Alligator mississippiensis: one gene and its partners. The protein of the gene in region 2 interacts with the protein of the main gene of each other region in a biochemical or structural test. Links are inferred from orthologs where the notes say so. Each region holds a gene or a part of one and is shown on either strand. Other genes may lie near its edges. The genes, in order: DOK1, CRKL, MAP4K1 and BCAR1.

Region 1 (7,903 bases), on a different chromosome or scaffold from region 2:
TGACTGCACAGAGCCTCTGAGCCCACAGCACCGGTCCAGCCCCACCGGGCTCAGGACCTGTGTGGGGATGACCCAGCGTGCCGGACACGATGACTGGCCATGCCAACCTGACTGGCGCTGCATGCGGTGCTGCACAGCTGGGCCTCGCCACACCATCCCGTCGCTGCCCGGGGCCGGTGCCAGCATCCATCTGCGGAGCCCGGGCAGACCCTCACTGAGATGTGCCCGCAGGCAGCAGCTGGGGACACGCTGGGGCCACAGCCCCACGCGCTGCCAGGCGGGAGCAGGGCAGGGGCAGGCTTGTGCCCATCCTGGCAGGGGCTCGGGTCGGCCAGGGGCCGTTCTCTGCCTGCCCTGACCAAGCGCAACCCAGCCGTGGTCCTGATCCAGAGGCTGCACTCGCCTCTGGCCTGTCTCCCTCCCTCCACTCCTGCTCCCATGTACCCGGCAGTGTCTGCAGCAACCCTGACTCCTTTCCAGAGGCACCGCTTGCCTGGGTGCAACCCCCAGCGCACACATGTGCACACTTATGTGTGTGTGCACACGAGGCAGGCCCAGCCAGCAGCCTGGGCCCTGGAGGAGGTATCTCTGGGCCCCAATGCCCCTCATGCTCGTTGCTCTGCCCACCTCCGCGGGCTGCTGTGGTGAGGACAGATCAGATCCTCGCTGGACAACACCAGCAGGAGCGCGTCCGTGGCATGGGACTCTCGCCGGCCAGCAAAGGCAGGCGGCGGGGCCCTCAGGTTGGGGGCCAGCTCCAGCGGTGGCTTTGCCCTGCCTTGGCCTCCGGGCACTGGCACAGCCCTCCCCACGTTGCCGTCAGGACGCCACGGACCCGCCCCTGTAGATTCAGCGCAAAACCTGGGGCCTGGCATGTGGCAGGTGGGCAGACCTGTCCCAGGGGCCCCCACCCCATCCCCCTGGAGCACCTGCTCTCCATGGCAGACCCCAGCCCGGGCTCAGCATCCGGCCATGGTCCCAGAGGTGAGGGGGGCTGGCCAGTACCCTCTGGCTTGGGCCTCCCAGGGAGGTGTTCATCGCCTGGTCACACCGTGGCTGCCATCCCCATGCCCCTCCCAAAGCTACTGCAGCACCCCCCTGCAGTGACCAGGATCACCCCATCTCTGGTGAGCAGCCCCCCACGTCTGCAGCGTGGCCGTCATCACCCCCCACAGCTGCAGCGCACCACCGCCCCCTGCTGAGCGCTGTGGGGACCAGGACCTGGGGCTGATGGTGCCATGGGACCCCGCTGCACCCACAGCTCTCGGGGGCCTGTGCTTGAGGGCGGCTTCCCCTCTCCAGTGAGGCCTGCCCTGGCCAGGCTCTCACCAGGCAGGACACCTGCCCCCCGCCCTGGGGGCTCCCGGCCCATCGAACCCCTCCGCAGCCCACCCTGATGTTGTGGGCCTCAGCCTCAACTCCATCAGCTCCCTTATGCTCCTGCTCCCATTGCCTCCTGCGCTCTCCACGGTGCCACGTGGTGGTGCCAACAGCCATCAGCCATGTGCCCCACCAGGGGTGGCTCCCGGCACGGCCTGTGTGGCACAGCGTGGCCCCTCCTGCTCCCTGCTGTCCCAGCACCAGAGACCCAGCAGGCTGAGCGACTAGTGACTCCACCGTGGCCATTCCTGTGTCCAGGGCCCAGCCCCGGGTGCTGGCACCAGGACTGCATGCTCCGGCAGAGGCCACGTCTGGCTGGGAACGTGGGCCAGCGACGAGGTTGGAGCCCTGAGTGTGGAGGCAGCATCTCACAGGTTTCCATGTTGGCGTGCTGCAGGGTCCAGGCCCAGTGGGGCTCCCAGCTCCACCACCCATGCTCACCCCGGGAAACCCTAGACCCTTGGCACCACCCGAGCCAGTGAAGGCACCATGGTGGGATGCTTCACTTCCGACATACGACTGAGCTGGATGCACACCTGGCCATCTGGCCCCCAAACTGCTCTGCCCCTCAGCCCACACTGTAAGGGACCCCCTTGGTTCTCCTGGGCCCAGGCCGGTGCCTTGCCCACACCCACGCAGCTGGGGGGAGCTGGGCACGGCTGCCCAGAGAGAGAGGATGTAGCGGGGGAACCAGGGAGGATTTGGAACGGAGCGCTGTGCCCTTTCGCCCAGTGCCACGCTTGTGGTGGCGAACCCCGGAGGGAGGGAGGGTGAATGGACACACGCAGCAACAGGTAGCTCGAGCACCCGTCAGAGCTGCACGGGAGATGGCATCTGCTGCTGCCGCTGCGCAGGCTCCTGCGGCCTCTCGACGGAGCGCACGGACCAGGGCCTCCACGCCGGCGCGCAGGGACTTGCCATTGGAAGAGAAGCTTTCTCTGCTCCATGGACCACGGTCTCCCATAGAAGCCTGCGAAGCGAGACAGAGGACAGGAGTTGGACGCGGGCACATGCAAGCCCCGCACACAGCTCCCCTGCCCGCGGCTGCTGTCCCGGCGCTGCCCCTCCCATGGCCGCAGGCTGTGCCGGAAGCCATCTGGTGAGGCACGTGGCTGGCGGCCGAGGGCACCACCACGTGGCACTGAGGAGCCCCGGGCATGGACACACGTGGCACCAGGACTGCTTTAAACCCAAAGTGGACAAGCCTGTTAATCTGGTTTAAATCCACCTGGAATGGTTCAAAAGCATGCCTGGAAAACCGAATGCTCTTCTGAACGGGTTCACTGCCAACTGGGTCCACGTGATGTGTGGACATCAGGTGTCACAGGACGTGGGTCCAGTCCGTCCTACAGGCATCCCATGTTGCATTGCTCCTCACTCCCACACACACACAGGTGCAACAGGCCACTGGTACACAGCAGAGCTCTGCGCCTGCCTCTCTGCTGCCCTTTAGTGGCACTTTGTGTGAATACGCTGCCTGGCCAAGCGACGCTCTTCCCAGCACCCAGCGGCATCCGCCCCCCGCGCATGCAGCCCCTTGCCCTGCGCCCACCAGGCCCCGGGAACCCCGGCACTGGGTCGGACACCACCCCTGCCCACCTCTTCAGGGGAGAAGGGGAAGCAAAGGGACAAGGCCCCGGGCCCAGCCCCGGTGTCAGCCACTGTCCCGTGTGCACCTGAAACCTGGCCCCTGCCGTGGCGTTAGGCAGGGACGGGTGCAGGGCTGCACCTTCGTTTCCTGCTCCACCCCCAGTGGAAACCCAGCCCGGGCTGAGACTTCACAGCTCACCATCATCTCCCTGCTAAACCCTTCGCCCCCCGGGTGCTAACCACCCTGTCTCCTTTCTAGCAGCCCTGGCGCCCCAGCAGCATAGTCTCTGCCGTTCCTGTGCGCAGCCCCGCCACTCTTTCTCACTCGCTCCAGCAAAGTCCTATTTGGTTTGGCTTTGCTCTCAAGCTGGATCGCGCAGCGCTGGGCCCGGCACGACAGCAAAGCGCTCTTGGTTAATGAGAAAGGCACGCGGCTCTGTGCAATGATGCATCTCGCACCCCCCACCCCACCTGCCAGGGGCTCGCGCCCCGTGCTCCCGGCGGGTGCTCTGGGGCACCGGGGACGGTGTCACGTAGGAGGGCGGGCTCCATGCCCAGGCAGACACGCGGGGGCGGCTGGGGTGTCGGCAGAGCGTGGCGCGGCTCTCCCGGGCTCCCTGCCAGCCTGTTTCGGAGGAGCTGGGTCTCCATGGCGACGGCTCCTTTCCTCCGGGAGCCTCCACCGGCCCCGAGCGCACCCGGGCCGCGGCCGCGGCCGCCCTGGACGCCGGGGCCGCCTCTCTGCTCCGCACGGGCGTGCACGTGGCTCACACTGACCCGGCGCCGCGAGGGCTCGGAGCCGGCCGCCACCGCTGACACCTGGCACGGCCGACGCCCCCCGCCCTGCGTCCTCCGGGGTGCTGTCAGCCCCTGCGCAGCCGTCCAAGGTCCGGCGCGGCTGGGCGCACGAGCCCCGGGCCCTCACCGGCGGTGGCAGGGGCTTGGGCCCAGGCCAGGCGCACAGCGGGGAAGGACGCGTGGGGCTCTCCAAGCCTGGATGGTCCCAGGCACCTTGCAACCATGCACCTGCACCAGCTGCCCTGGAGCCACGGGCCCGAGGAGAAGCCCCGGAGATCGCTCGCCCCCTTCCCGGACCGGGCCCTGCAGAGGCCTGCGTGTCCGCGCCCCCCCCCGCCCCGCCCCGCCCCGCCCACACGCGGCTTCTCCGGCCCCGCGCGGCTCCTGGGGCTGGTGCCCGGCCCGGCCCGGCCCGGCCCGAGACCTGCGCCCCGCAGCGCCCGTGCCACCGGGCCCAGGCCCTGCCGGGGGAGTCCGTGTCCCTCGCTCTCTGCGGCGGGATGGTCCGCGGCGGAGCCGGCGCTCTGCCAGAGTTTCCCCGGCCCGGCCCGGCCCGGCCCGGCCCCACGCGCCTTCCCGCCGCGGGGTCACGCAAGCCAGCGCCGGTTTGTCTGCGCGCCCGGCCCCGCGCCCGGCTCCAGCACACGCAGACACAGACGCCCCCGACACGGCGCCCGGCATCGCTCCGGGGTGCGGGGGCCGCGGCCGCCAGCGTCCTGCTGCTGCCGGGGGGGGGGGGGCTGCAGCGGGCCGGGCTGGGCCGGGGGGAGGGGAACCCCCCGTGCGCACCGGTCTGAGCAGCGGGATCCCCGCGTGCCTGCCTGCCCCAGCGCGGCGCGGCGGCGGCCCCCCCGGCCCGGCCCGGCTCGGCTCGGCCCGGCCTACCTTCCACCACCCCGCACAGCGGGCCCGGCCGCGCCGACATCCCCGCGCCGCGCCCGGCTGCGGGACCGGGACCGGGACCGGGACCGGGACCCGCCCGGGGGGGCGTGTGCGTGTGCAGCCCCCGTGGGAGCCCGGCGCAACAGGGCGGGCGTGGCCGTGCGCGTGTGCACGCCCCTCGCACGCGCGCGAGCCCAGGCCCCGCCCCCGACCGCCCCGCCCCGCCCCGTCCCGCCCAGGCCCCGCCCCGCCCCGAGGCGCGGCCCGGGAGCAGGAAGCGCGGCGCGGCGGCGGCGGCGGCGGCGTTGGGATGGACCCCCCGGCCAAGGAGGGGCAGCTCTACGTGCAGCACAGCCTCAAGTTCGGGGCCAAGGTCAGCGCCCCCCCCACACCCCCCGGGGTCGCGCCCGCGCCCGGCCCCGCCCCCCCACCGGACCGGGACCGGGGCCGGGGCCGGGGCCGGAGCCGGGGCCGGGGCCGGGCGCCCTCCTCCCGCCGCCCCCTTCCCGCCCGCGCTGGGCCGGGGGCTCCGCCACGTGTCCCGGGTGGGCCCCCCCCTGGCTTGGGGAAGCGGGTCCGGGCCGAGCGGAAGAGCCGTTTCCTCTTCCCGGCGCGGGCGGGGGGAGGCCGTGCGGGTCCCGGTGCAGGGTCCGGGTCTGAGCCTGAGCCTTGCGGTGTCGCGTGGCACAGCGCTGGAAGAAGAGCTGGTTCGTGCTGTACCCGGCCAGCCAGCACGGCGTGGCGCGCCTCGAGTTCTTCGACTGCAAGGACCCGGCGGCGCCGAGCGAGAAGCCGGGCACCAAGCGGCTGGACAAGAAGATCGTGCGTCTGGCCGACTGCGTGAGCGTGGCGCCCGCCAGCGAGAGCGGCCCCAAGGATGGCACGGCCACCTTCTGCCTGGAGACCAGCGACCGCAGCTACCTCTTCGCCGCCCAGAAGCAGCAGAGCGCCGAGTGGGTGGGGAAGCTGTGCGAGATCGCCTTCGGGGTGAGCACGGGGGGTGCCGGGCCCACGGCCACGTGGCCGCGCTGGGGCCAGCACTGCCACTGCTGCGCCCCTGCCCTTCCACGACAGCCGACCCGCCTGCCGCTGCCTGTGGCGCAGCATCATCCCACGTGGCTCCCGGCTCACGCTTTCAGTTCTGCTTGCGGTTGGTCCGGAGGCGCCCGCCCCCTCCTGCCAGGCTGGGGCATGGGGAGCGAGGAGGGCATCCCCGTCTGCCGGCAGCCCTCGCTCTGAGCTGGTCCCGGCCAGGCCCGTGGGGAGCCGGGGCCACGGCCCACCCATGCTCTCGGGGTGGGGGTGTGTGGGGGGCATGGGGAGCCCTGGAGCTGGCAGGCCCCTGGCGTCGGGTGCTGAGGTCCGTCTCGCTTGCTCGGCAGGGCAATGCGGGCGGCGAGGGCCGGCTGCCGGGCGGGCGCAGCGCGGAGGGCAGCGCCGCAGCGCCTGCCCTGGAGATGGCCGTGAATTCCATCTACTACTCACGGGACGAAGGTAGGGCTGGGCTGCTTGACAGGGTCCTGCGAGGGCAGAGCCCCCCAACCTGGGGCATCGCCCCCCGCCCTGGGCCGTGCCTGGGCTCAGGCCCCCGTGCCCGCCTCGGGGCATCCTTCGGACGCTGGCTGTGCCCCTCTGCGCAGCGCTGGGGTCGCCAGCCCTGCCAGGCCCCGTGACTGCCCCGGCTCCCCCTTTCACAGTGAACAGCTTCTGGGTGACAGTGCAGAGGACGGAGGCGGCCGAGCGCTGTGGGCTGTACGGGACCTACCAGCTGCGGGCAGAGCGCGACGGCCTGGCGCTCCGCGACCCCCAGACGAAGGAGACGCTCTACGTGTGGCCCTACCGGCTGCTCCGGAGATATGGGCGTGACAAGGTGGGTTGCGGGGCAAGGTTTGGGATACCCCGGAGTGAGAGAGGAGGTTAATAGACTGATGAACCAAGCCCACCGGGCCTGGCTACTCCTCTGCACTTGCCCCCTCAGTGTCCATCTCCTGGCCCGTGCTGCACATGCTTCCCTAACAAGGTGTTGCCAAGGCCTTGTGCCAGGGCCCCCGCCTGTCCACGTGACCCCTGCCATGTCCGCTGGCAGCGCACGGTCTCCTCACACCTGCTGCCCCCTCCATCATTCCCAGCTGTGGTGCAGCCAGACCCTGTGTGCTGCGTGGCCCTTTCCCACCCTATGGACCCTGACTGGGTGGGAGGAAGTGGTCTGGGAGGGAAGCTGTTTATAGCAGCAGCAGTGATGCAGCCTGTCTGCTTCCTCCTGCCTTGGCCGGAACCAGGCAGAGGCGGGTCTGCGCCCCGGCGAGGGGCTGGAGCAGCTGGCGGAGGGTGGGCGGGGGCCGAGCTGCCTTGCAGGCACCTGTGTGCACTCAGGCCTCTCTGTGGGTGGGCGGCTTGGTGCTGCCCCTCTGCAGGTGGCTCTGCTGGGCGCCAGGGGTCAGCCGGCAGCAGAGCGGGACTCTGACCTGAGCTGACCTGCCCGGCAGGTGATGTTCTCCTTTGAAGCTGGGCGGCGCTGCAGCTCCGGCCCCGGGAACTTCACTTTCGAGACCAAGCAGGGGAACGAGATCTTCCGTCTGGTGGAGGCGTCCATCCGGGAGCAGAAGACGCTGGCGGAGGAGCACCGGCAGAGCTGCGACTCGCTGGATGCGGACTGCCCCAGTGTCATGCAGATCCGCAGCACCCTGGCCGACTCGCTCAGCCTCGACCTCCCAGCCGAGGGCGACAGCCCTGCAGGCCCCAAGGCCGGGCTGGCTCCCCGGCTCAGCGCCGCTCCAGAGGAGAGGGACGCCCTGAGCCTGCTGAAGACCCGGAGCCTCCCGGAGCCCCCGATGCCGCAGAGCAAGCCTGCGCCTACCAGCACACCCCCGCGCTCCCCGCTGCCCAAGGTGCCCCGGCCTGTGCTGCCCTCCGAGGACATGTCCAGCCTGTACTCGGAGCCCCTGGACTCGGTGAAGGGCCCGCGGCTCTGGCTGGACCCACTGTACTCAGACCCCATTGACAGCAAACTGGGGGCTGTGGGTAGCGCGCCGGGGCCGGGGCCAGGCTCAGGGCTAGGGCCGGCCCCACGCTGCAAGGAGCACATCTATGACGAACCCGAGGGGCGGGCGCCACGACCTCTGCCCGACACCATCTGCATCTACGATGAGGCACGGCTGCTGGGCGAGGCCTGGCGCACGCAGGGCCTGGACGACCGGGATGGCTACGAGTTCCCCTACAACCCCAACTCCGACTACTCGGTGCCGCCCATCCA
Region 2 (7,369 bases):
TCTATTTGTTTTAACCCAGTTTTCAGTTATTTTAATTCCTATGATTTCCTGAATATGTCAGCCTTGTGTTTTTACTTTTCAGGGAGTTCTGGGTGACAATGGCATAGTACAAACGTTTCTAGAAATCGGAAAACAAACCTGTGGAAGAGCTTAAATGTTCAGACCAATAAAGTATAAGTATTTTATTCTGGTCAGATCAAGTAATTAAACACTGAAAAGTTCATCTTACTGATATATTGGGAAGGTCAATAATTGAGTTTATTCAATTGTTTATCTAATTTCCTGTAATGTTGTCCCCAGAACAGTAATGATGTTCAATATGCAGAAGTCTCATCATTGAACCCATATATTCTTTTCTACTTATTTACTAAGGACATCTCAAAATGTCAGGAAATCCACTTCTGCTGCAATAACTGTAATGACAGCAAGAACATAAAGTCAGGCTTCAAGCTCTAAATGCTAAGGACAGGGCTTCACTTACCCCTAACTGCAGAGTGAAAATACAGAATTAGAGAGGTGATTGTTCCTATGCATTTACAATCCTGACACACAGCTCCATTTAGCACAAAGCACCTTTTAAACCCTTAGAAAATGTTACAGTTAAGAGAGCCCAAACCCAGGGTGTGCTACAATGTGCTTTCCTCAAAATGGAGGCAGTGGATTTAGAACAGGGATGATATAAAAGTAATAGTTTGAGATGGGAAAGAAGGGAGTCACTGAAGAGAGATTTGAAGGGGGCAGAACTGGGTATTGCTGTTGAAAAAAGGAAGACAATCTGGTTCAGATGCAGGAAATGGTATGACAGAATGCTTCAAGCCCAGAGTTGGATGAAAAGTATGAAGGCAGCAGTGAAGCGAGTGAAAAAAGCACAGATGTGGGTAAGAACCAGATCATATCTTGAAGGTGAGGATAAGGAGGTCAAACCTAATGCAGGAAGAGGAAGCCAATGACAAGGTTCAAGAAGTGAAGAGATGACTTAGTAAAAGCATTTTTAAAGATTGTGAGAAAAGCATGGTGCATACAGTAGTTGGGACCCTTGATATTACACAAGCTAAACTGCTTCTATGAAAACAATCTTTTCAGATTTCCTCATTCTATTTGCATTGCTATAACAAAAAGGTACTTGACATTTCTAAACTGTCTTTTAAATCAGAGAGGTACCAAGCCCACAGCCCACTGGTATTTGTACTGAAAGTATTGCCATAACCATCAGGGTGCAAAGGTCCAATGTTAAGATTCCCTATTATGTTCAAGTATGCAACATAACATTATACAGTACTTTGGCTGAAGCCATAGCTGTTTAACACAGTTTGCAGCCTGCTGTTTGGATTTTTGCTGGATTTGCACAAATTTTAGTGAACTTGTTTACTGAACTTTTTCAGGGTTTCACATTTGGAAGAGAAAAATGCTTATTTCTGCCTCCGCTTTTGTTCCAGAACTGCTTCTCCTGCCATTTCCCTTTTCCAAAACAACCCATCACCAAAAAATCCAACTTTCAAAATTGGTTTATCCGTTTTCATCATCTTTATTTTCAATCAAAGGATTTTGAATGTTCACTACCAAAACAAAATAAAGAATTCCATCCTCTCCTGTCCTGTTGTCACTCCCAGCTCACCGGTTATGTGATTGTCAGCAAGTCATGACTGGGTCTAGTTTAAACCAGGATCTAATTCAGCTACAGCTGTTTAACTAGAAACAGGAATTACTTCACAGAAGTCCAGCAGCCTGTGTGTATGCAGGAAGTAAAAAATGCAGGTTTGCAGTAGTCCCTTCTGGACTAGAATTTTTGGATCCTTCTCTGTCTAAGAGATGATGTTCTTTCATTCTCACTCAAGAAAGCAAGGTAGGAAGTAGTTCAGTTCCATACAGCACAAAATTCCAGATTGGTTCCCACGCTACCTATCCAGAGCAAAGATATTACAACTAGACCAACATATGTTTTCTAATAAAATATTGCTTACTCTTGACATTTTAGTTGCTTTACTAACTAAAGAGAGTCCAGACAAAACTGGAATAGAATCTTGAACTAGCTTATCACATCCCTTTGCTATGATCTGGTTTATTAGAAAGTGAAAGATGAATTAGTAAGAAATTAACACTAACTTCTTCACTGTTGTTTTTTAACTGTCCCTGATTCTGCCACTTAATCACTGTAGCCTTAGACATATCCACTCTCTCTACCTCAAGTTTTCCCTTTGGTAAAACCGAGATTATAATACTTGCCTACTTCAGTGATGAGGTTTAATTTCATAATGCTTGTAATAGAGTTGTGTGTATAATGCTTTTTATCAAGTATTTTAGAAGCACTAATACAGCAACAATGCTTTTAACTAAAATATTATAAAGTGAAAATGCTTTCTCAAGTTTCCTATTTCAGCCATAATTACACTGAGACATGACTGAAGCCCATGTTTCAATTGGTGAAAGGCAATTTTATGAATTTCACAATCTAATCAACTAGAGTTGTGAACTCTTAATAGGAGTTGAACCCAAGGCAAAATTATTAGGCATCTTTTCCAAGAGAGCTATGGCATAGATATGAAGCTGTAATGATATGAAGCTGTAATTGGTATTCTTCACACCTGGGCCTAATCAATGTAGTTAGTACATATTACTGTAGGCTGTTACAGATGTCATTTTCCTCCTGCGAGATGACTGTATTTTAGTGGTTGACACGGTGATACCTGTACATGTAAAATTAGGGGGGGGGTCTTTGGGAGCCTTTTATACCAAGGCTGGTATGGATACTCTAGTTGAAATGAGGTTCTGGATTTGATGCAATTTCCACCTTACATGAATTAGACAGTTATGAAAGTTTCAGTAATAAGATTTGGATTCCTGCTGGACTATTTATGAGTTAACAGTTATACTGTAAGTAACTAGCATAATTTTACCTAATTTTGCCAGAAAAATTGTGACCCCTGCTATCAGCGTGGCTGTTGTGTGCAGCTGTTTCTTGGATAATTTAAGGTTTTAAAAATAAGTTCCTGTTTTGTTAAGTTTTTCTTTGTTAGGCCCATGTTAAAGTGCTATAAAATTACAGCCCCTATTTTCCAACTTACAATATTTAGGCTTTACACCAGTTGCCATAGAAAGAGCAAAATACGTTGGGAAACTTGCCAAACATAGGAGCACAATCAGCAGCAACAGGGTACAAGGGAAAGAAAGATGCGGTATTCAAGCTGGAACGAACCCTGAACAGGGTCCAATTAGTAACGAAAGGTTATTTGTCTTCAGTCCAGTTCTTAATGCGAAGAGCCGTTTGACATTTCAGTGCCGTGTTTCTTTGCGGCCAGGGCGCCAACCCCACAAGTTGAAGGAAACGTGAGTCGGACTCCAGAAAAATCACTACACAGCCCCCAAATTCAGGGTGGGCTTCCTGGTCTGGCGGTTTCGAACCCACCGAGGCATGTGGGTGCGGCGACGTTCTGGGCCACGACAAAGCAGAGGGCAGCGACTGGGCCTCTCGCTGCCCGGGAGGGCGCAAGCTACCAGCTTTTACCACGGCTGGTTTCTCGTGCCCAGGCTCCAGGCCCCATTGCCGCGCGCTCATGCTACGTGACCCTAACAGCCGTGGGTCCGCCAGCGTCCGCCACCCAACCCTGGGCCCCCAGGCGATGTGGGGGTAGGGTGGCCATCACAGACGACAGTCCGGTTGTCCTCTATTGCTACAGAACCGGATGCCTTTATGTCTCCTCTCTTTTTCTCTTGAAGCGAAGGCCTAAAAACAGGGCACATAAAGGCATCGGGTTTCGTATCAACATAGGAGCAGACAACCGGAGAGTCCTCTACGATGGCCGCCCTACGGACACCCCGTCCCTCCCTCCCCGCGCAGCTCCTGGGGCCGGCCCCTCCTAGGGTATCGGCAACCCTCCCCGGGAGGCCGGTCCGCCCCAGCCCCCACGAGTGCTGCCGGCCCGGGAAAGCGGACACCCAGCCAGAGGGTCCGCGGACAAGATGGCCGCCGGCCGGGGCTGCCCCGCCACATGGCCCCGGGCCGCGCCCGGCCGCGCCGCGCCCTGCGGGGGGAGGGGGGCGCGGGGCGCGGGCCGCAGCGCCTCACGGTGTCCGGCGAGGGGGATCCGGCCCGGCCTCCGCACCCCGCGCTTGGCGCGGGGAGGGGCCGGGGGCCGCGGAGGGCGCGTGCGCGGGGCGGGGCAGCGCCTCCTCCCCCCGGCCACGAAAGGCGCCATTTTGGCGCTTGGCTCCGGGGACAGCGAGCGCCGGGATAAAGCAGCAGCCCGCCCCGGAGCCGGCACCAGCAGCGCCCTTCGGCCCGGCCCGGCTCTCGGCGCGCGCAGCAGCCGGAGCGCGAGGCGGGAAGGGAGAGGAAGGGGCGGGAAGGGAGAGGAAGGGGAGGGGAGGATGCCGCGCACGCCCCGCCGCTAAGGGAGACGCAGGGGCCCACCCGCCGGCCCGCCCAGCCGCACTCGCCCCTCGGCCTGGCCTGTGAGTGCCGCCGCCTCCGCCATGTCGTCCGCCGCGCGCTTCGACTCGGCGGACCGCTCGAGCTGGTACGTGGGGCCCGTGTCGCGGGCTGAGGCGCAGACGCGGCTGCAGGGGCAGCGCCACGGCATGTTCCTGGTGCGGGACTCGTCCACCTGCCCCGGCGACTACGTGCTGTCCGTGTCCGAGAACTCGCGCGTCTCGCACTACATCATCAACTCGCTGCCCAACCGCCGCTTCAAGATCGGCGACCAGGAGTTCGAGCACCTGCCCGCGCTGCTCGACTTCTACAAGATCCACTACCTGGACACCACCACGCTCATCGAGCCCGCGCCCAGGTACGGACCCCCGCCCCGCCCCGCCCCGCATGGCCCCTCCGCGCCGCCGTCCAGGTGCGCCCAGGTGAGGCGGCGCCGCGCTGCCATGGGCCCGGCCCGGCCCGCTGCGGCCGCGGGGAGGGCGTGGCCGGCGCTGGAAGCGGGTCCGCCCGGGGCCTGGGTGCTGCCTCTTGCTCATGGGCCCGGCCCAGGCACCGCCGGCTTCCCCCTGCTGCGGCCCTCTCCTGCCTGTGCCTTTTGGGGCGGTTTTAAGCCCTGGCAGTGCGGTGGGCAGCCCTGCTTGACTCATCACATGATGTAATGACATTCATGACTGATCTGCTGTACTCGGGAAGGCGCATTTTACCAACTTACGTTTTAAAAACCCACTGGACTGCTGCATAAGTCGGATTCAACATTTTAATGTTTATGTTAATGAATGCCTTATCATTTATCGCCCCCCCAGGTGACTCTCCGCAGTCTCCTGGAGACTATATCTTAATTCCTGGAGCGTGCAAGGCAGTCCCGGAGGGTTGGCAACCCTACCTGGCAGAGCTGCTCTAGGTGGTGGCTTCATGGTCCTTGGCCTGTTTTTTAGGACTGTATTTTCCATGCGTTTAAAGCCGAGCCTCCCTATGGTGGGGGGTTGAAGGACCTGCCGTTGTCCATCTGACCCTGTGGTGTGGAAGGGCTCTGTATCTGAACATGTGCATCCCCCTGCCTGCGGCTTAGGGCTGGAAAAGTTTGATTTCTTGTATGGGGAGGGTGGCGTTTGCAACTGGTGCTGACCCATGTTGATGTGACCCCTGCCCCAGCTGTGCTAGTGTGACTGGTCAGCTAGTGCTTGCCCTGATGTGTGAGGCAGTTCCCAGCTCTTTGCATCCAGTACAGACCCGTACAGCTGAATCATAAGGGAACATAGAAGCAAATATTGATAGGCCAAGTGCTGCTTTTTTAAAATGGGGTTTTGGCTTCCTTCCTCTATTTGAGCAGTTTAAAATTCTCACTGCTTGCATCTGCTCATGACTTCTACTCCTTCCTATTCACCTAAATTGATTCTTGATCAGATTTGGAGCCAGATTTAGCTTTGCCTTTAATTACTAAGGGTCAAATATTCTTGTCCAAAAGAATAAGTGCCTGAAGAAGGAGGAAAGCTTGGAGCTGTCAAGAAAAGCTTCTTGGTCGAGATAGCAAGCAAGGAAGCAGTTCTCCAAGGAATGTGGTAGAAATGTCATTCCTTAAAACTTTGAAAAAATGGTGTATAGGTAACGATTGTGCTTTGGCAGGAAGATGCCTGGGCTGGACGTTCACTGATGCTCCTACACAGCTGCAGGAGCAGTTGGATGGAGATGTCCAGCATTTCTGTACAAGTTTGTCAGTGGAGGAATGTGGCTCGTTGGTGACGCTCCTTTGCAGTCTTTACTTGCTTTCAGTTGCTGGTTGGGTGCTGTTCTGTGACTGGGTTTTCTTTTAACCCATTTGCTATTTTGATCCTATTAGACTTGATCCAGACAAATGTGCATCTGGTATCTGTTTGGAGGTCTCAAATTATGCATGGGTGGATTTGCTTCAATTATATTAATATGCAGGCAAAAGTACCATAGAAATAAATCCCTCTTCCTACAAAAAGAGTTGGGTTGTCAGTTATGTTGAACTGCTGAGCTTCCTGTAACTATTGCAATACTGCAGTTTGGACTCATTACAAGAAAAATCATACTGTACCCAAAGCTGTCTAAATCTTTACTATGAATTTTTGTACTAAAGATTAGAAATTCAGTGACTTCATTAGGGTGTAAAGTCTTCCTAAAAAGAGGCCACATTCTGGAAGGAAGAGGTCAAGATGTAATATTAAAGAATACGTTATCCACTGGCTCTTCTCTTCAGTGAAGTTACTCCCTCCAAGACCTTGGTTGGGTAGAAAAGGGCATTATGCATAACGCAGAACTGCTTGTTTGTATAGTGAGTGAACATTTGATGTACAGTAGCATTTTTCTTTACGAGAGCTGACACTATACTTCAGTAAACATTTCAGAATCATCTATATATCGGTAACCTTATTTTGAATTGGCCAAGAGTTTGTCCATCATGGCAACAGCCTCCATGCCCTCTTTTGGTTGCTCTTCACTTTCAGCCAGCATTAAAATTGTCCGCTATGTAATATATTTTTCATGGTAACTAGATTTGTACTTTTTATGCGAGTATAAGAGAAGTGAAGATGCAAATACAAAGGCACTAAAGTACCAGCCACAGGGTTTCTTACCATGTTGTTTAACTCTCACTGGTAAATTCTGTCTCATTTACATTTGTACTTCCCAAGTAATTACCGCAAGTCATGTTGGACTAGTGGTGGGCAAAGTACTGAAGAGGCATTTTGGTGAGTTGTAATTGTGAATTATTCTCAGAAAAAGTGAATATGAAGATGGATAGTAAGTGAATGAATGTGCTGTAAATCGGGGGTGGAGGATATGTCCAAAATATGGACTATGGTCAAAATCCAGCCCACAGAGCCGTATTATCCAGCCCCTGATGCTGCCCATGGATCTCAGTCACCCACAGGCAGCACGTCGGGTATTGCAGGATGACCCTGCGTGCTGCATACTGTGCTC
Region 3 (7,339 bases), on a different chromosome or scaffold from region 2:
AATCGTATCAGCATTTTTCTTCTCTCCCGCCACCCCCCCTCCCAGCATTTGTTTTTCTCTCTGCTCCACAAAGGAGCAGGGGTTATGCTCTCCCGCTTCCTGCCTGCGAGATGCTGAACATTCCTGCGATGTATATATTTAGCCACTGGCTGGAAGCCACTGTTTATAATGAGGGGGCTCCCAGGATGCAACAAAAGGGTGTGAGGCACTTCTAATCCCCACCCCACCTGCACCAGAGGTGGTAAAATGGAAAGGCAAGGTCTGCCCAAAGTGCTGGCCTGAATGACAGCAGCTCAGTAAGGAGTTGGGGTGCAGGAGACGGGGTTGAGGGGCCGCACACTGCTCTGGGTTCAGAAGCCCCAACCTAGAGCAAACATCCCCAAAAAAGGGAGGCAAGCAGCAGGCAGCTCAGCACCACAGGGTTTTCCCCCAGTTTTCTACCATGCAGAACCACATAGAGACCCTCAGGGTCTCCCAGGTAGCTCAAGGGCCAGTGGGATGGAGGCCAGCTCTGCCACAGCCTGCTGAGGGCACTGAAAGAGCCAGAGACATGCATGGCAGCTGCAACTCAGCACAGAGAGAACCCGATGCCGCAAAGCAAAGATGTGGCGGCTCCCAGGCAAAGAGCAACAGTGTAGGCCTCTTCCCCTCTCCCCAGCACAGGGCACAGAGCTGCTCTCGTGGGGCCTTGAGGAAGAATACCCTGCCTGCAAAAGGATCACCTAACCACCCCACAAAGTTGGTCTGATGAGAGATCCCCCACAAATATCCATGCCTGGTACACAATTCCTGGCCAGCAGCAAGATCCAGGTCCATGCAGGAGCGGTGCTGTGAATCCCAGGGTGCCCATTTCTGACTCAGCCATGGAACCCAGAAGCCCTGCTTTCCCTTAAGGCCTTTGAATAGCAATTCTCAGGCAGAGACTCCCTCCAGGGTCCCCGTACTGGGCAGCTGCTGCCCCAAAGAGGCCTCAGGGGGCAACCCCCAGAGCAGCACCATGACCACAGGCCGGCTGCGGTGGCTCAGGCCCTCCCCACAAGGGGAAGCATGATCAGGTCAGCAACAGGCTGGTTCTTATTTATTGGCCACCTACCACCACCTGGCGGTCAGAAGAGTAATGACAGCAGGACCAGCTGCCAGGAGTCCTACTTAGGCTTATTAGTGTGGGGCTGGTTACCTCACCCCAGGAGTCCCGGGTTCTTTCCCTAGCTGGGCAAAGTGTTCGTGCTCCGCGGCAGAAAGAGGAGGTCATTATTCCTCCAATTCGTGGCTGGGGGTGGGAGGGTGGACCCTCAATCCAGCCAGCAACTGTCCAGAGGAGAGAGTCTGTCTTGGGCAACATGCCAGTTCCAGCCCAACAGCACTCCCACCCCCCAGGAGCCTTACCCAGAGCTGGGGCTCCCCCATCCTCCCACCCCTGAGAGGAAACAAGAAAAGATCTCTCCAAACATTTATTGGCCAGGGCTGGATTAAAATTTAAAAAGGAATTAAATAAGAAATAGACCCAGAGCAGGTTCTCACAAGCAGCACAGATGGTAGTGGGCAACAGGGGCATCACAAGGAAGATGCCATGATGCTGGAGACACCTGAAAGAAGGGAGGACAAACAAATTAAACTCCAGAACAGTGACTCCATGTGCTCCAGTCCACAAGAATTCAGCCCAGGGAAGATGCCCATGGGCCAAGGCAGGACCTTGACCTCTGTGGACAACTCACTCCAGCCAGATCCACACCCCTGTCCCCATCCTCAGTACCAGTGGGGCCTCGGCGCTTACTGTCAAAGTCTATTTTCTCTACAATGTTCTTGGGTTTGACGCTCTCCTCCTGGTTGCAGATGAAGACCTTGCCAGGCTCAGTTTCTGTCCAGCCATATTTGCTCATCCAGACCTTGAGCTGGCTGTCTGTAGAGAAGCCAAGGGAATGAGCCAATGGTAGTTTGGCACAGGGAAGGCGAGGTACGAAGGCACATGTGTTTAAGCAGGGGGTGCCAAGACAGAGTAGATCTTCAAGGGAAGTGATAAAGCACCAAGTCTGCCCTAAGACTGCCAGTGGAGAGCAAGTAGGGTGACTAAGCTCAGCAGCGCATGCAATAAGGGCCCCAGGACCCCTGTAGCTGGGACAGCATTCCCAAAACCCAACCCAAACAGCCTGGAGTCACACCAGTAGCAGTACAGCTCACAGACTCCCTTGATCCACTTTGGATGTAGGGCGAGGGGCTCATTTCTGAGAGGGGTCTGGCTTCCCTTTGGGGAACTTACCTGAGAGGTCTCCCAGCATCTCCGCCAGCAACCACCGATCAACGTGCTGGTAGGTGATCCCCACCACGTGGCAGATGACTGTGGAAGGAACACGGACACTTGGTGCTACTGGCACATGTTCAGGCGTGCCCCAATCCCCCGATGCACAACAAGCTGTTGAACCCCTCTGCTGTGCCCTGCTGCCCCCACACGTGCTCCGGGGCTCAGCGGCTGCTGGCTCAAGGGAGGACAACACATTTCCAGGTCTCTATCGCCGTCCGGATGTGCCAGACACGAAGAGGATCCTTGCTGCAGGGAATTCACACTACTTGGCACAGGGGCAACGCGTAGGAGGTGCACCCCCCGCCCCCCTCCCGGTCAGGCTGCACTCCCCGTTTAGCCAGCGGGCAGGCAAGAGCACCAGTGCCTCCCCTACAAGTGCTGCCTGGGGAGCAGGACTGTCAGTAGCATGGCTGCTTTTATGATGAGAGTCAGGTCGCTTGTGAGGCACCCCCTGGTCGCTGACTGGTGTTGGGGGAAGGAGGAGCACGTGCTCCCGCTGACTCGAGACAGACACCCACAACTTGGCAGAGCACCGAGGGCAGCAAGGGACACAGCAGGAGCCTGTCACAGCCGGAGACGGGACCTGGACCTGAGTCTGAGTCTGCCCAAAGGGGATCGTGCAACAGAGCAGAGGGGACAGCAGCCACTCACATTTCCTAACAGAGTCCTCAAAGCCAGTGATCCCGTCCAGCAGCTCCATGTTCTCATCCAGGGCTTGCTGCAAAACAAAGGAAGAACCGTGCATTCGCGTCGGTTAGCAAACACCGAGACAGAGACGGACGCTTCCTGACCCGAGGCCACGAGCTCACAACGCAGCGGCTACAGGGGTGCCGCCAAGGAGGCACGGGGGCAGGGAGGGCGCACGCTCACGCTGCGGAGGCTCCCCGGGCTCAGGGCACCAGAAGGGCAGGACAACGCTCACCCAAAAGGCCTGGAAGTGGCAGGTCTCCAGCAGCTCCCCCAGGTAGAGGATCTGCCTGATCGGCCTCTCTTCTTGCTGCGACGAGCGGGTCAAGGGGGAAAACAGCAAACGCAGACCCCCGAGTTCACCCCCGGGCGGAGGAAGAAGCCGCAAGGCTCGAGGGAGGCCAAGTGTCACGCCCACAGCAGCAGGGAGACCCCTCCGAGCCCTCCCACGGCCAGCGGGCAGCCACACGCTGCTTCTGACCCGGGGAAATAAAAGGATACGTGAGCCTGGTCGATCATGCACTTGCAGAGGGTGAAGTCCGTGTGCGGGAGGTTGGTCAGCGCCTTGAGCAGGATCTGAGCGGTGACGGTGGTCTGGAAGAATGCTGGATTGAACTGGTACCTGAGGAGGAGGGTGCACGTGTTAGTATGGGGGGGGGATTCGCGTGGTGCCCCCCCGCCGCCCCCAAAAGCAGGGTGTGGCAGGGGAGACGACGCTCACAGCTTGAGCACGGCCAGGTTGGCCTCCAGGTCGTAGGCGTTCTCCTTGGCCTGCGTCTCCACGTAGCGCTCCAGCGTGGCCAGGTTCTCCGGGTTGTACCTGGGGCACAAGGCGGCAGCGGCTGAGCACGACTCCCCCCGCCCCGCCCCGCCCGCCGGCCCAGCCAGGCAGCTCTACCCCCACCCGCCCCGCCCCGCGCCGCCGCCGCCGCCTCACCGGTCGATGCCCTTGAGCAGCTTGCCCACGTTGGCCCGCATCTGCTCGAACAGCGCCATGGCGCGCGCGGCGGCAGCGGCTTCCGGGGCCGCGAGCGGGAGCAAAGCGGTGCCGGGCTCTTCCGGCCGCGGCAGCTTCCGCTTCCGGCGTCGGGCCTCGCCGGGCATGCTGGGGCGGGGAGGGCCGGCGTGACACGCGTGCGCACTAGGAGGGGCCGGGGAGGGAGGAAAGCCCCGCCCGCAGTGAAATACCCCGCTAGGCCCCGCCCCCTGGGCGGGCAGGCCACGCCCACGCTCCCCCGCCCGCTGCCGTCGCTAGGCAACACCCACCCTTAGCAACCAGACCCTCCCTCCCCTCCTAAGTGCTCCCGCCCACCCCAGATGCCCCTCCCCTCAAAAACTGCCCCCCTCCCCCAAGCGCCCCCCTTCCTCAGCCTGCCCCCCCACACCCCCAAGTGCCTCCTCCCCCCTCTCATGCCCCCCTCCCCCCAACCGCCCCCCTCCCTCAGCCTGCCCCCCCACACCCCCAAGTGCCTCCTCCCCCCTCTCATGCCCCCCTCCCCCCAACCGCCCCCCTCCCTCAGCCTGCCCCCCCACACCCCCAAGTGCCTCCTCCCCCCTCTCATGCCCCCCTCCCCCCAACCGCCCCCCTCCCTCAGCCTGCCCCCCCACACCCCCAAGTGCCCCCTCCCACCTCTCATGCCCCCCTCCCCCCAACCGCCCCCCTCCCTCAGCCTGCCCCCCCACACCCCCAAGTGCCTCCTCCCCCCTCTCATGCCCCCCTCCCCCCAACCGCCCCCCTCCCTCAGCCCCCCCCACACCACCAAGTGCCCCCTCCCACCTCTCATGCCCCCCTCCCCCCAACCGCCCCCCTCCCTCAGCCTGCCCCCCCACACCCCCTCAAGTGCCCCCTCCCACCCCAGATGCCCCTCCCCTCAAAAACTGACCCCAGTTGCCCCCTCCCCTCAGGGTGGCAGCCCCCCCTGGTGCCCCCTCCCCTCCAGGACTGATCCCCTCCACTCCCCCCCCCACCCCAGCAACAGCAGCAGAGAGCAGCGCTCCAGGTACGTTTTCATTGGCTCCTGCGAGGGATCCGGTGGTCCCAGCAGGGCGGGGCTCCCCTCCCATCTCGGGCGGGCCGTGGGGCTGGGGGTCCGGCAAAAAGGGAGCAGGGGTGGGGGGGGCTAGGAGTCAGAGCTCAGCCCTGCCGAGCTGCCGCTCGAAGCCCCCCCTCTTTGTGCCTCAGTTTGCCCCTTCCGCCGACTGGGCGCAACGATCCCAGGATCAATTAATAAATAAACGCTGGACTCAATTAATAAACGCCCCTCCCTCCCTGCCACTGCCTTGCTGCCGGTGTGGCTGGGTGGCGGGCGCCGGGTCCCTGCCCCCCCCCACGCCGACAGGGCTGGGGGGGGCCGCTCGGCCGTGACATCCTGCCCCCGAGCGGGGACAGAGCAGGTGATGGCAGGGCGTCTCCTTGTTTCCCCGCAGGCGCCGCGAGGTGTCACAGCCGCGCCGGGCGCCACACGCGTGCTGCTCGCGCACACGGACGGGCACGAGGGCCAACGCCAGCCGCTCCCGCACCTGGGGCCGTCGGGGAGGCCCTGCGGAGCGGCCTCCCGGGGCCACGGCGCTGCAGGGCTCCCACGTGCTGTCTAGGGGGCCCCCTGGGCTCGCCGCTGCGCCCGGCTGCTCAAATCAGGAAATAAAAGCGAGCGAGCGAGCAAGCGTTATCAGCCCCTCCGATCACACACACGCGCACTCCTGGGTGCAGGGCGCCGCAGGCTGCACGCACGGGCGGGCGCCCAGACATGGATGCCCAGGACCGAGCCGCACTGGATATTTCCACCAGGAACCCCCAGGACGACTTCGAGCTGCTGCAGAGAGTTGGCGGCGGGACGTACGGGGAAGTGTACAAGGTAGGCCCGAGGATGCGTCCCGCTCCCTTGCCTGCATGCGGTGCCGAGCGTCGCATGGGTGGGGGACGAGTCTCCACTACCCTGCCGAGACCCCAGGGTTTTGGGGTGCTGGGGGAACACGTCACCCTTCGTGCCCACGTGGGGCGAGGGCAAGCGGTGCAGGGAGCTCCGGGAGCCACGGCGGCGAAAGCAGATGCAGGAGGGGAAAGGGCCGAGCGGGGCCAAGACCTGCACCTGCCCGGGACAGTGCTGGGGATGAAGGCGTCAGCAGGGCTGGCACCCCCTGCACCCCTGCCTGGGGCAGCCAGGCGTGTGGAGGTGCTTGCTGCCGGCTGTGGGTCGTGCTCGGGGCCCAGGGTGCTGCGGGCGTTGGACTCAGCCCCCTTGCACAGCCCTCGTGGTCCCTCGCCTGGGTTTGGAGGGGCAGAAGAGAAGGGCCCAGCTCGGGCCTTGCTGAAGGAAGTGCATTGGCACTGATTCCCTCCGTACCCCCGTGGGCGTAAATCAGCAGAAGCCCCCTGGAAACAGCGTGGGCGCGAGTAGGGCCCGATCCCTCGGCTGGGGTGGACTCTCGGAGTCAAGGGGACGGTGTCCCCAGGGCCCCGGCGGGTGGGAACGGATGTCCCTGTCACCTCCCCCCCCCCCGTGCACAGTCATCTTCACCGGAGGGAGTGGGTGTGAAATGCCACGAGCTCCCCACGCACCACAGCTCACACCCACTCGGCTCCCAGCCTGCCCCGCTGGAAACCGTGTCAAGGCAGCTGGGGGGCAGGGGTCAGGCTTCCCTGGGCCCAGCGCGGCTGGAGTCAGGCCGCTTGGCCCACAGCGTCGGGGACCCGCAGTGCCCCTCAAACATGGCGGCTTGGAGGGAGCAACATGGCAGCGGGCTGTGCGGGGCTCCTTTGCCCACTGCTGAGATGCGCCCAGCTCTGGGGTGGAGCAGGGAAGCTGTTCATTCAGCTGGTCTAGAAAGACAGCCACCTCTGGGCTGGGGCAGGGCAGCTGGGGCAGGGCAGCTGGTTGCACAGGGACCCCGAAATGCAGCTGGGTGCCTCTGCGGGGGAGATGCACAAGATCTGGGAAGGGAGGCAGCTTCAGAGGAGGGTTGAGAACAGTTTGGGGCGGCAGTGGGACAGGCGGGCACAGGCTGGGCACCGAGGTTTGCAGGCTGACGGGGCAGGGCCGTGGGAGGAGGGAGCCTGGTGCCTGCTGAGAAACCCCGGGGGCCTGCCGGTAGCACCACAGCCCCGGGTGCAGGTGCTCCCGCCTGCCTCCCAGCAGCTCCAGCACAGGGTCCGGTGCCCCAGCTGCCAGCAGAAATGCCCCAGGGGCTGGAGCCGGGGCTGAGCACCGGGACCACGGGTCTTTGCAAGACCGTCAGTGTCACAGGTGACATTGGCCTGTCCCTTGATGCCGGTGCCCCTCACTCCTGACCCCACACCGGTTCTAGCCCCAGCCCCACCACGACCCCCAGGCAGGGCATCCTCCCTCCAGTCCC
Region 4 (7,642 bases), about 22 Mb from region 2:
TAACTTTGATCCCCAGGAAGAGATAACATAACATGAAAAAAAATGATTTATAAGTACCTAAGCAGGGGTTGGCTGGTATTAAATGATTTCCTGAACAGCCAGCACAGGCCAGTCCTGATACACATAGGGATTGAAATTCCAACAATAATGTCCATTCCCATGCTACAATATAACTTCAGAAAGGCTAATTGGGAACTTTTTACTGAGGATATTGAGCGCACTGTTTCTCAGATTCCACCAAAACCTGAAAATTGTGAGTACTTTACCAAGCTTGTGCTCAAAGTGGCCTGATCATACATCCCCAAGCATTACTGGGTGGAGTACACTCCATGGTGGCCTGAACAATGCAAATCTCTGTTCCAGGAATTCTCGGACTCAGGAAACCCGGAATGTGGCAAAGCTCTCTTGAACTTGCTGAATGAATCCAGAAGACAGATGGACCAAAGCAATGGAGTCAATAGACTTCACACACTCAAGCCATAAAGCTTGGAGCCTCCTGAGACACCAGAAGCAGCACCACAACCAACAAATAAGATCATCAATATATCCGTAAATGCCATCCCCTCAAAAAAGCTGCTGGATAGAAAGACCATTACAGATCACCAGACTAGACAGCAAGTAAGGGCTTGACTCCATCAATCAATGACGTAGTGTAGAGTACAACAAAAACAGCCCAGTCATCTCCCTTCACTGAAGAAGAGGTCATTGAAGCCCTAAGAGCTACCAGATCATGGAAGGCTGCAGGATTAGATGGGATCTACCCCGAGTTCTTGAAACATCTTGGCCAAAAAGGAGGCTGTTGGTTGGCCAGACTCTTCTCCAACATAATAGCCACAAGCAAAATTCCCAAGATACAGTAACAAGCAAAGGTCATTGCTATTCCAAAACCCAGAAAATCAACCATGGACCCAAAAAACTTCCGCCCTATATCCCTGCTTTGTACAATATATAAACTTCTTGAAAAAATGCTACTGGTTTACATGTTTTTCATCTTCAAGGTTATACCAGCTGAACTGGTTGACTTTCACCCTGGACACAGCACTAGCAACCAATTGCTGGCACTCATTACATATATTGAAGCCAGGTACCAGTGCAAAGAGATCACGGGAGCTGCCTTCATTGATTTATCAGCAGCTTATGGCAAGATGGCCTCCTCCTGAAGGCGTCAAGGGTCATCAGGTGCCAGCAGGTACTCTGTCTTTTATCAACACTCCTGTCTAACCAGCAATATCACGTCCATCTAGGGAGCACTGTCAAAAGAACCTGTCTACTAAATAGTGGTCTCCCACAAGGATCAGAGCTTGCACCAGAACTTTTTAATGTATACATAAGTGATCTTCCTGTTACCACCAGCTGGAAATTCGGCTATGCTGATGACCTGCTGCTTGCTACTCAAAGAAGGACTCAGGCTGAAGTCCAGGCAGATCTTTGCAAAGACCTCAAATTGCTTGAAGAATATTGCGCATGTTGGAGACTCCACCCAAATCCAAGGAAAACTGTCGTCATGTCATTTCATCTAAACAATGCCCACACTGACCAGAAACTTGCCATCACTTTCTGTGGAGAAGAGGTTAAGCATGAGAAGTTCCCAAAATACCTTAACTTTCAATTGGAGCCTCACCTTTTGTGAACTTCTATGGAATGTTGCTAAAAAAGTGAAAGCCATGAGTTAAGCTTGTGCATAAACTGGCCGGAACGACGTGGGGAGCAAATACAACCATGCTTCAAATGGGCACTCTGGCACTTGTTTTCTTTGCAGCAGAATAAACAAAAGTGTGCACACAAAAATTGTTGATACACAGTTAAATGCAGCTATGAGGATTATATCAGGAATGCTAAAAAGTATGCCATTGCCATGGCTTCCAGTCCTAGCAAACATTGCTTCCCCACAGTTCCGCCACAATGCCACATGCATGAGGGAATACCATAAGGCCACCGGTAACCCAAACTTCCTAATCAACAAGGACATCACTATGCCACCACCAGATAGGCTCAAATCTAGAAAACCCTTCTGAGAAATAGAAATACACCAAGCTCTATAATGATAACAAGAGCACCAAAGAACAATGAAGGGAAGCCTGGGTAAATACCAGCTTGCCACAGAAAAACATCATCTGTGATCCTACACTTCCCCAGTCAGAATTTGACCTACTAAGAAAGATTTGGTCCTCCCTGAATAACATCTGGACACTTCATGGAAAACGTGGGCACCTACTCCATAAATGGAGAATCAAAGAGACTCCAAGTTGTTATTGTGGTGCAATTTTTCAGATGATGCAACGCATTGTGAATGATTGCCCAATTAGATCATTTAATGGAGATCTAAAATCAATCCATGCAACTACACCTGAAGCAGTTGAATGGTTATCAAATTTAGATATTAATCTTTGAATGTTGTAATCCTAAAATGTCATATGAAAAAAGAAGAAGGGGTTGGCAACCTTTTAGAGCAGCAGGCTACCCCTTGTAATCTGGCTGCTGCCACAGGGTGCCAATCCCTGCTCCCTTGTGCTATGGGTCTCTCTTCCCCTCTACGGGACTGTTGTTGTCTTTGCCACAAAGAGACTTCTATGTGGACTATATAAGGCTTTTCACACTGTTTCCTATGACATTCTCATAAGTAAGTTAAGGACAGATAACATAAATAAAACTCTTTAGGGTGGGCTCATAACCGGTTGGCTAATTATGCTTAAAGGGTAGTTATGGCTCCATGTCAATTGGGAAGAGTTATCACATGGGATTCTTCACCTTTTCTTCAGTCCACTATTAAATATATCTTCATCGATATCTTGGAGGATGGAACTGAATATGCAGTTAGTAAATCTGTGGGTGACACCAAGTTGTGTGATGTAGCAGACACTTTAGATGACAAGATTAGGATTCAAAATGACCTTTTGTATATTGGAGAAATGGTCTAAAATAAATAAGAGGAACTGTAGAAAGAACACGTGCAAAATACTACACTTAGGGCCCTGCTACATATTCAAGTTGAAGCTGGATAGAAACCAGCTATAGAGTTGCACCACATATTCAAGCGCTAACTTTATAGCTGGATAGTAATTTTTATCATGTGATAATTACTTTTGCATGCATAGCTGGTCTAAGTTTATTGCACAATTAACCAGTTAATTCTGTGACAATTACTTTGCACTAGTGGCCAATCTTACTTTGCACATGTGGCCTGTCAATATTTATTGTGTGATTAACCAGCTAATTGTATAATATACTAATGTGTAGCAGGGGCCCTAGGAAGAAACAATCAATGCACACAGGGAAAATGGAGAATGACTGGCAAGGCTGAAATACTGCAGAAAGGATGTAGAGATTATAGTAGACTGCAAGATGACTGTGAATCGGTGGTGTAATATTGTTGAGAAAAAAGCTAGTAACTTTTATTACTGTCACATGCAAGTCATGGAAAGTGAGTCTTCCACTCTATTCAGCACTCCAGGGATCTCACCTGATGTACTCTGTCCGGTTTTGGTCACCACCCGTTAAGAAAGATGTGAATGAATTTGAAAGATTCCAAAGGAGAGGCAAGAAAAGATTAGAGGTCTAAAAATGTGACATGAAAACAGTGTGGAAATTTGAGATAATTTATTCTAGGGATGAGAAGACAAAAAGAAAGATTGGATGACAGTCCTTCAGTACAATAAAAGGTTGCTCTGTAGGGCTTAAATATGAGATTCACGGTAGACAGAAGAACTTTCTAACTCTGAGTGGGGTTTGGCATTGAAACAGATTCCCTAGAGACAGGTCATCATGTCTCCATCACTAGAAGTTTTTTAATGCACATTAAACAAACATTCTTCGGGGATGGTAGAGACAGGGAGGATCCAGCCTTGAGTAGGAGTTTGGACAGTAGCTGATCTCCTGAGGTCCTTTACAACCCTGTTTTTCTGTGAATCTGTGACTATCCAAGCACACAGACAGCATATTCCACTCTGCCTTGCAAGGACCTTGCTGCCACACAAGCACACAACCTTCATTGTCACCTCTGTCACACGCACACACAGACTGCATAGCGCATGTCATATACATGTGCGCATGCAGACTGCAGTCCCCTCACACGTGTAACATGCGCATTGCACAGCCTGTCACACACATGTGCACACAGTCACACAGCCCTGCCACACACAAGTGCATGCACTTACTGCACGATTTAGTATACACATGTACACGTGCAGATGGCACGGCCCCTTCACACGCGCCACGTGTGCATACAGATTGCACAGCCCCGGCACACACGCGTGCACAGGCGGACTGCGCAGCCGTCCCACACACGCTCGCGTGCATGCACTACACAGCCCAGGACACGCGCGTGTGCACGTGCCAAGGGCAGCTCCGTCACGCCCATGCCTCCTCCACACGCCTGTGCACTAGCAGCACCACCCGTCCCACGCTTGTGCAAACAGAGACCACCAAACCTCATCACACGTGTGCGCAGCGCCTGGCCCGGCCCGGCCCGGCCCGGCCCCGCCCCGCCCCCGCGCACCGCAGCCAATGGGCGCGGGGAGGCGGGCACGGCGGGCGAGCTGCGCGGTGCCGGCCCGGCCCAGCCCGCCAGTCCCGGCGCCGCGCGGGGAGCGCTCGGCTGCGGCGGCTGCGGCTCCCGAGCTGAGCTGGGCGGGGCGGGCTGCGGTGGGGCCGCGCGGCCGGGGCGGGGACCGGGGCAGCCACCGCCACCGCGACCAACTTTCCTCCCGGCCGGGCGGGCCCTTCCCGGATCGGCGCCCGGCCCGGCCTGCGGGGAAGATGAACTACCTGGTGAGTGCCCCCCCACCCCCCCGGCTCTGCCCCCCGCGCTGTCCCGAGGACCTTCCTGGGGCGCCCCGGGCCGGGCGCAGACAATAGCGGGTCTCCGGGGTCGGCGGCGGCTGGAGCAGGCGGGAGGCCGCGGGTCCCGTGTGGACGGCCCGGGCGCTCCGGCTGCAGCAGGGCCGGGCTCCCCCGCCCGGGGGTGACAGCACGGGCCCCGCGCCGGCTGCCTCCCCGGCCTCGGCGCGGGCAGCCTCCCCCGGTGCCCCCCGCCGCACGCAGCCCGCGCTGGCCCCCGGCTTCGGCCTCCCGGCCGCGGCGGCTCCTAGGCAGCGGCGCGGGGATCTTCCCTGCAGGGGAGTGAAGGGCAGCTGCCGAGTCTGCCGTGCTGCCAGCGCAGGCTCCCTGGCTTATCCACTGGTTTATATTTGAATGTGAAGCTCTGGAGAAACGGCGCTGTGGTTGCAGCAAAGCTGAGGCAGAAAAGGACTAAACGCCCAGCGGTTTTGGGGACCTAAAGCTGTTGCAGTTCTGTAGCTGCTTAAGGACCTTTGAGTGACAAGTTTGCAGAATCGTAGCCCAGTTCTCGGAGGACAGATGTGCCTGGAGTAAAACCCACCAGTGGCGTCGGTGCTAATCGGGCACCTCAGCTAGTGGGAGGCTGGGGCCCAACTCCTTCTCCCCCGCATCAGGCAGACGCATGTTGCAGTTGCGTTCGTTTGGGGCCAGCAGAGTGCTGCACTGCTCTGTGCGTGGATGTTGGCAGCAAGGCATTCAGGGGCATGCTTGCTGCTGTTGTCCCTGCCGGGAGGCTGTGCAGAAAATAAGACTCCAGGCTCTCAATCTAACACCATATGTATGCACCTCCTAGGCATCTGGATGTGGTGGCTGGAGGGGGTAATTACCTGGATGAAGGAGAAGATTGAAGCCATGATGTGGAGAATTAGCTTGTTTTAAATCAGAGGCCTTGGGGTCTATTCCTCCCCCAGGTCGTCCTCCTCTTTTATGGTTGGACCCTTGCTTTCCCCCCCAGGTTAACTTCTCCATTTAGCCCCTTCGTGCCAGGTTCTTGCAGTGATTTACTGAGATGACAGTTGCCATCTTGGCCTGCAAAAGCTTGACAAGCAACTTCCCAGACCTGCTCTGACCAGTAACACATACTCAGAAGGTTACACAGCCAGTTCATACCTGCATGTCCCCCATGTCCTTGCAAGCAGTTTTGCTACCCAAAGTCATGCAAGAAGCCATTGGCAAAGAGGCCAACTTCCAGGGCCTGCCCTAACTCCCAAGCAGCAATTTTCTTACCACAACCTTGACCCCATCTGAGAATGAGACTTGCTGCAATTAGAACAGGGGACAATATGTGCGGTTTCCTTCTCCCACCCTGCTGGGATATTTCTGTTTCCTGGAGGAACCTTGCCCATCTTCTTTTCCTGCTTCCCACCATCCACAGGATGATATCATTGAGCTACAGCTGCCCTGTGGCAGTCACCAAAGCAAGGAGGAGTTTCGTGCAGGCATTCCCATGCCCTCTTGCTGATCCCAGGTGCAAGTGACTATGCTTAGCAGCACATGGGTCTGGATATCTGGGCCCACAGGGCTGCTAGGCTCTCTTTCCAGCCTCTAGTTCCTCTCCTTCCATGATGGGGCAGTGGTCAGAGACTGTAGCATAACTAGAGGCAAGCTTGCTAACAGGATTGCTGGCTCAGGGCCAGTCTCCTTTTTAAATCGCCCTGTGTTTTTCATGGTTAAGTGACAGCTTGGAGGTGAGACCAGTTCTGTTCAGAATTATCCACTGTTCAAATGGTGATAGGGTGAAGGGGAATGGAAATAAAATGAACCCAAGGCCAGAGCCTAGGATCAGGTATCATGACATTTGGGAGTCAAGGGCCAGCAGTGGAACAGGCCAGGCCAGGGCTTGGGTCAGAGGCAGAGGTTGGAAGTCTGGGCACTAGGAGAGTTTTATTATCCAAACTGTACTGTGAAAGCTGAAACACCATAAAGTGGGCTGAGTGGCAGTCTGCTTGATGCCAGGCAAAAGTCCCATGCAAGGTGATGCCACTGTGTTGCCCTCCTTAAGGTGGTATTTGCCATTGCTTCTCCACACTCTTCTATAATTTGATGGTTTTAGAAGGCGGCTGTTGTAAAACAGGGAGGGGAGGGGGAGCTGGGAGTCATTGGCACATCCAGTGGTGCGTGTGAGAGCATGAACGTCCTCTCAGTGCACGTCAGCAAGCCGGCTGGCTCCAGCAGCAGTGTAGAGTACAACGTTAATGATTCACTAGGAGATAATCAGCAATTGCCAGGCCTGGCAAATCTTGCTGTGTGAGTACAGTATAGGGCTGGGGGAAGGGAGAGATTTTTTCATGTGTGATTACAACATACAGTGCCAATGGGGCAGCTTGAGGAAAGGATCATTTCTGGCATTAAAAACCTCCTGAAACATTGCTTCAGGGTGCAAGAGAGCCAGCATAAGGGCAGTTGGCTTGCCAGGAGCTTGCAAATCACTTTTCTCCTTCTGTCCATTGGAAATTCTCGTGTTGGTGCAGCACCAGATTCATACCCCTTGTCATGGTGCTCCTGGGTGACCAGTCAGGCCATCTTTGCAAACCACAGGACCCTGGAAGTGGAGCACTGGTTTTCAACTTTGTTAGACTTGGAAAATGCCAGCTCTTAGCTGTCTCTCTTTTTTTTGACTACAGAAAAATAATAGAGCAGTTCTTCTGTTGCAAAGCACTCAGAAAGAGCACAGCAGGTCGGAATGTTTTCGGCACTATGAATTCCTATTTGAAGTCACTAGGTTTATCTTGTGTAGGTGTTTGCACAGCTAACATGGCTGATAGTGTGGGCACTTCCTGGCACCCTGAAAAGGATCTCATGGCAC

Evidence for each region.
Region 1: the proteins of CRKL (region 2) and DOK1 form a complex in vitro, tested with the Homo sapiens proteins (2 studies listed by BioGRID, with this or other methods). The link is inferred for Alligator mississippiensis from reciprocal best matches to the Homo sapiens genes CRKL and DOK1.
Region 3: the proteins of CRKL (region 2) and MAP4K1 form a complex in vitro, tested with the Homo sapiens proteins (2 studies listed by BioGRID). The link is inferred for Alligator mississippiensis from reciprocal best matches to the Homo sapiens genes CRKL and MAP4K1.
Region 4: the proteins of CRKL (region 2) and BCAR1 interact in a test that uses a peptide from one of them, tested with the Homo sapiens proteins (2 studies listed by BioGRID, with this or other methods). The link is inferred for Alligator mississippiensis from reciprocal best matches to the Homo sapiens genes CRKL and BCAR1.

What each region holds. Positions count from the first base shown.
Region 1 is NC_081825.1:325,306-333,208, reverse strand, and holds the start of DOK1 (docking protein 1), read left to right. Parts: upstream 1-4,894; 5' UTR 4,895-4,960; coding exon 4,961-5,023; intron 5,024-5,340; coding exon 5,341-5,637; intron 5,638-6,032; coding exon 6,033-6,144; intron 6,145-6,347; coding exon 6,348-6,520; intron 6,521-7,136; coding exon 7,137-7,903. Other genes in the region: protein O-GlcNAcase, read right to left, coding at 628-875. UniProt on the Homo sapiens protein: DOK proteins are enzymatically inert adaptor or scaffolding proteins. They provide a docking platform for the assembly of multimolecular signaling complexes. DOK1 appears to be a negative regulator of the insulin signaling pathway.
Region 2 is NC_081833.1:18,949,726-18,957,094, reverse strand, and holds the start of CRKL (crk-like protein), read left to right. Parts: upstream 1-4,369; 5' UTR 4,370-4,470; coding exon 4,471-4,784; intron 4,785-7,369. UniProt on the Homo sapiens protein: May mediate the transduction of intracellular signals.
Region 3 is NC_081838.1:1,988,785-1,996,123, reverse strand, and holds the start of MAP4K1 (mitogen-activated protein kinase kinase kinase kinase 1), read left to right. Parts: upstream 1-4,328; 5' UTR 4,329-4,986; intron 4,987-5,413; 5' UTR 5,414-5,733; coding exon 5,734-5,841; intron 5,842-7,339. Other genes in the region: EIF3K (eukaryotic translation initiation factor 3 subunit K), read right to left, coding at 1,555-1,586, 1,775-1,900, 2,258-2,335, 2,951-3,017, 3,222-3,296, 3,488-3,608, 3,708-3,806, 3,924-3,982. UniProt on the Homo sapiens protein: Serine/threonine-protein kinase, which plays a role in the response to environmental stress. Appears to act upstream of the JUN N-terminal pathway.
Region 4 is NC_081833.1:41,203,366-41,211,007, reverse strand, and holds the start of BCAR1 (breast cancer anti-estrogen resistance protein 1), read left to right. Parts: upstream 1-4,633; 5' UTR 4,634-4,755; coding exon 4,756-4,767; intron 4,768-7,642. UniProt on the Homo sapiens protein: Docking protein which plays a central coordinating role for tyrosine kinase-based signaling related to cell adhesion. Implicated in induction of cell migration and cell branching. Involved in the BCAR3-mediated inhibition of TGFB signaling.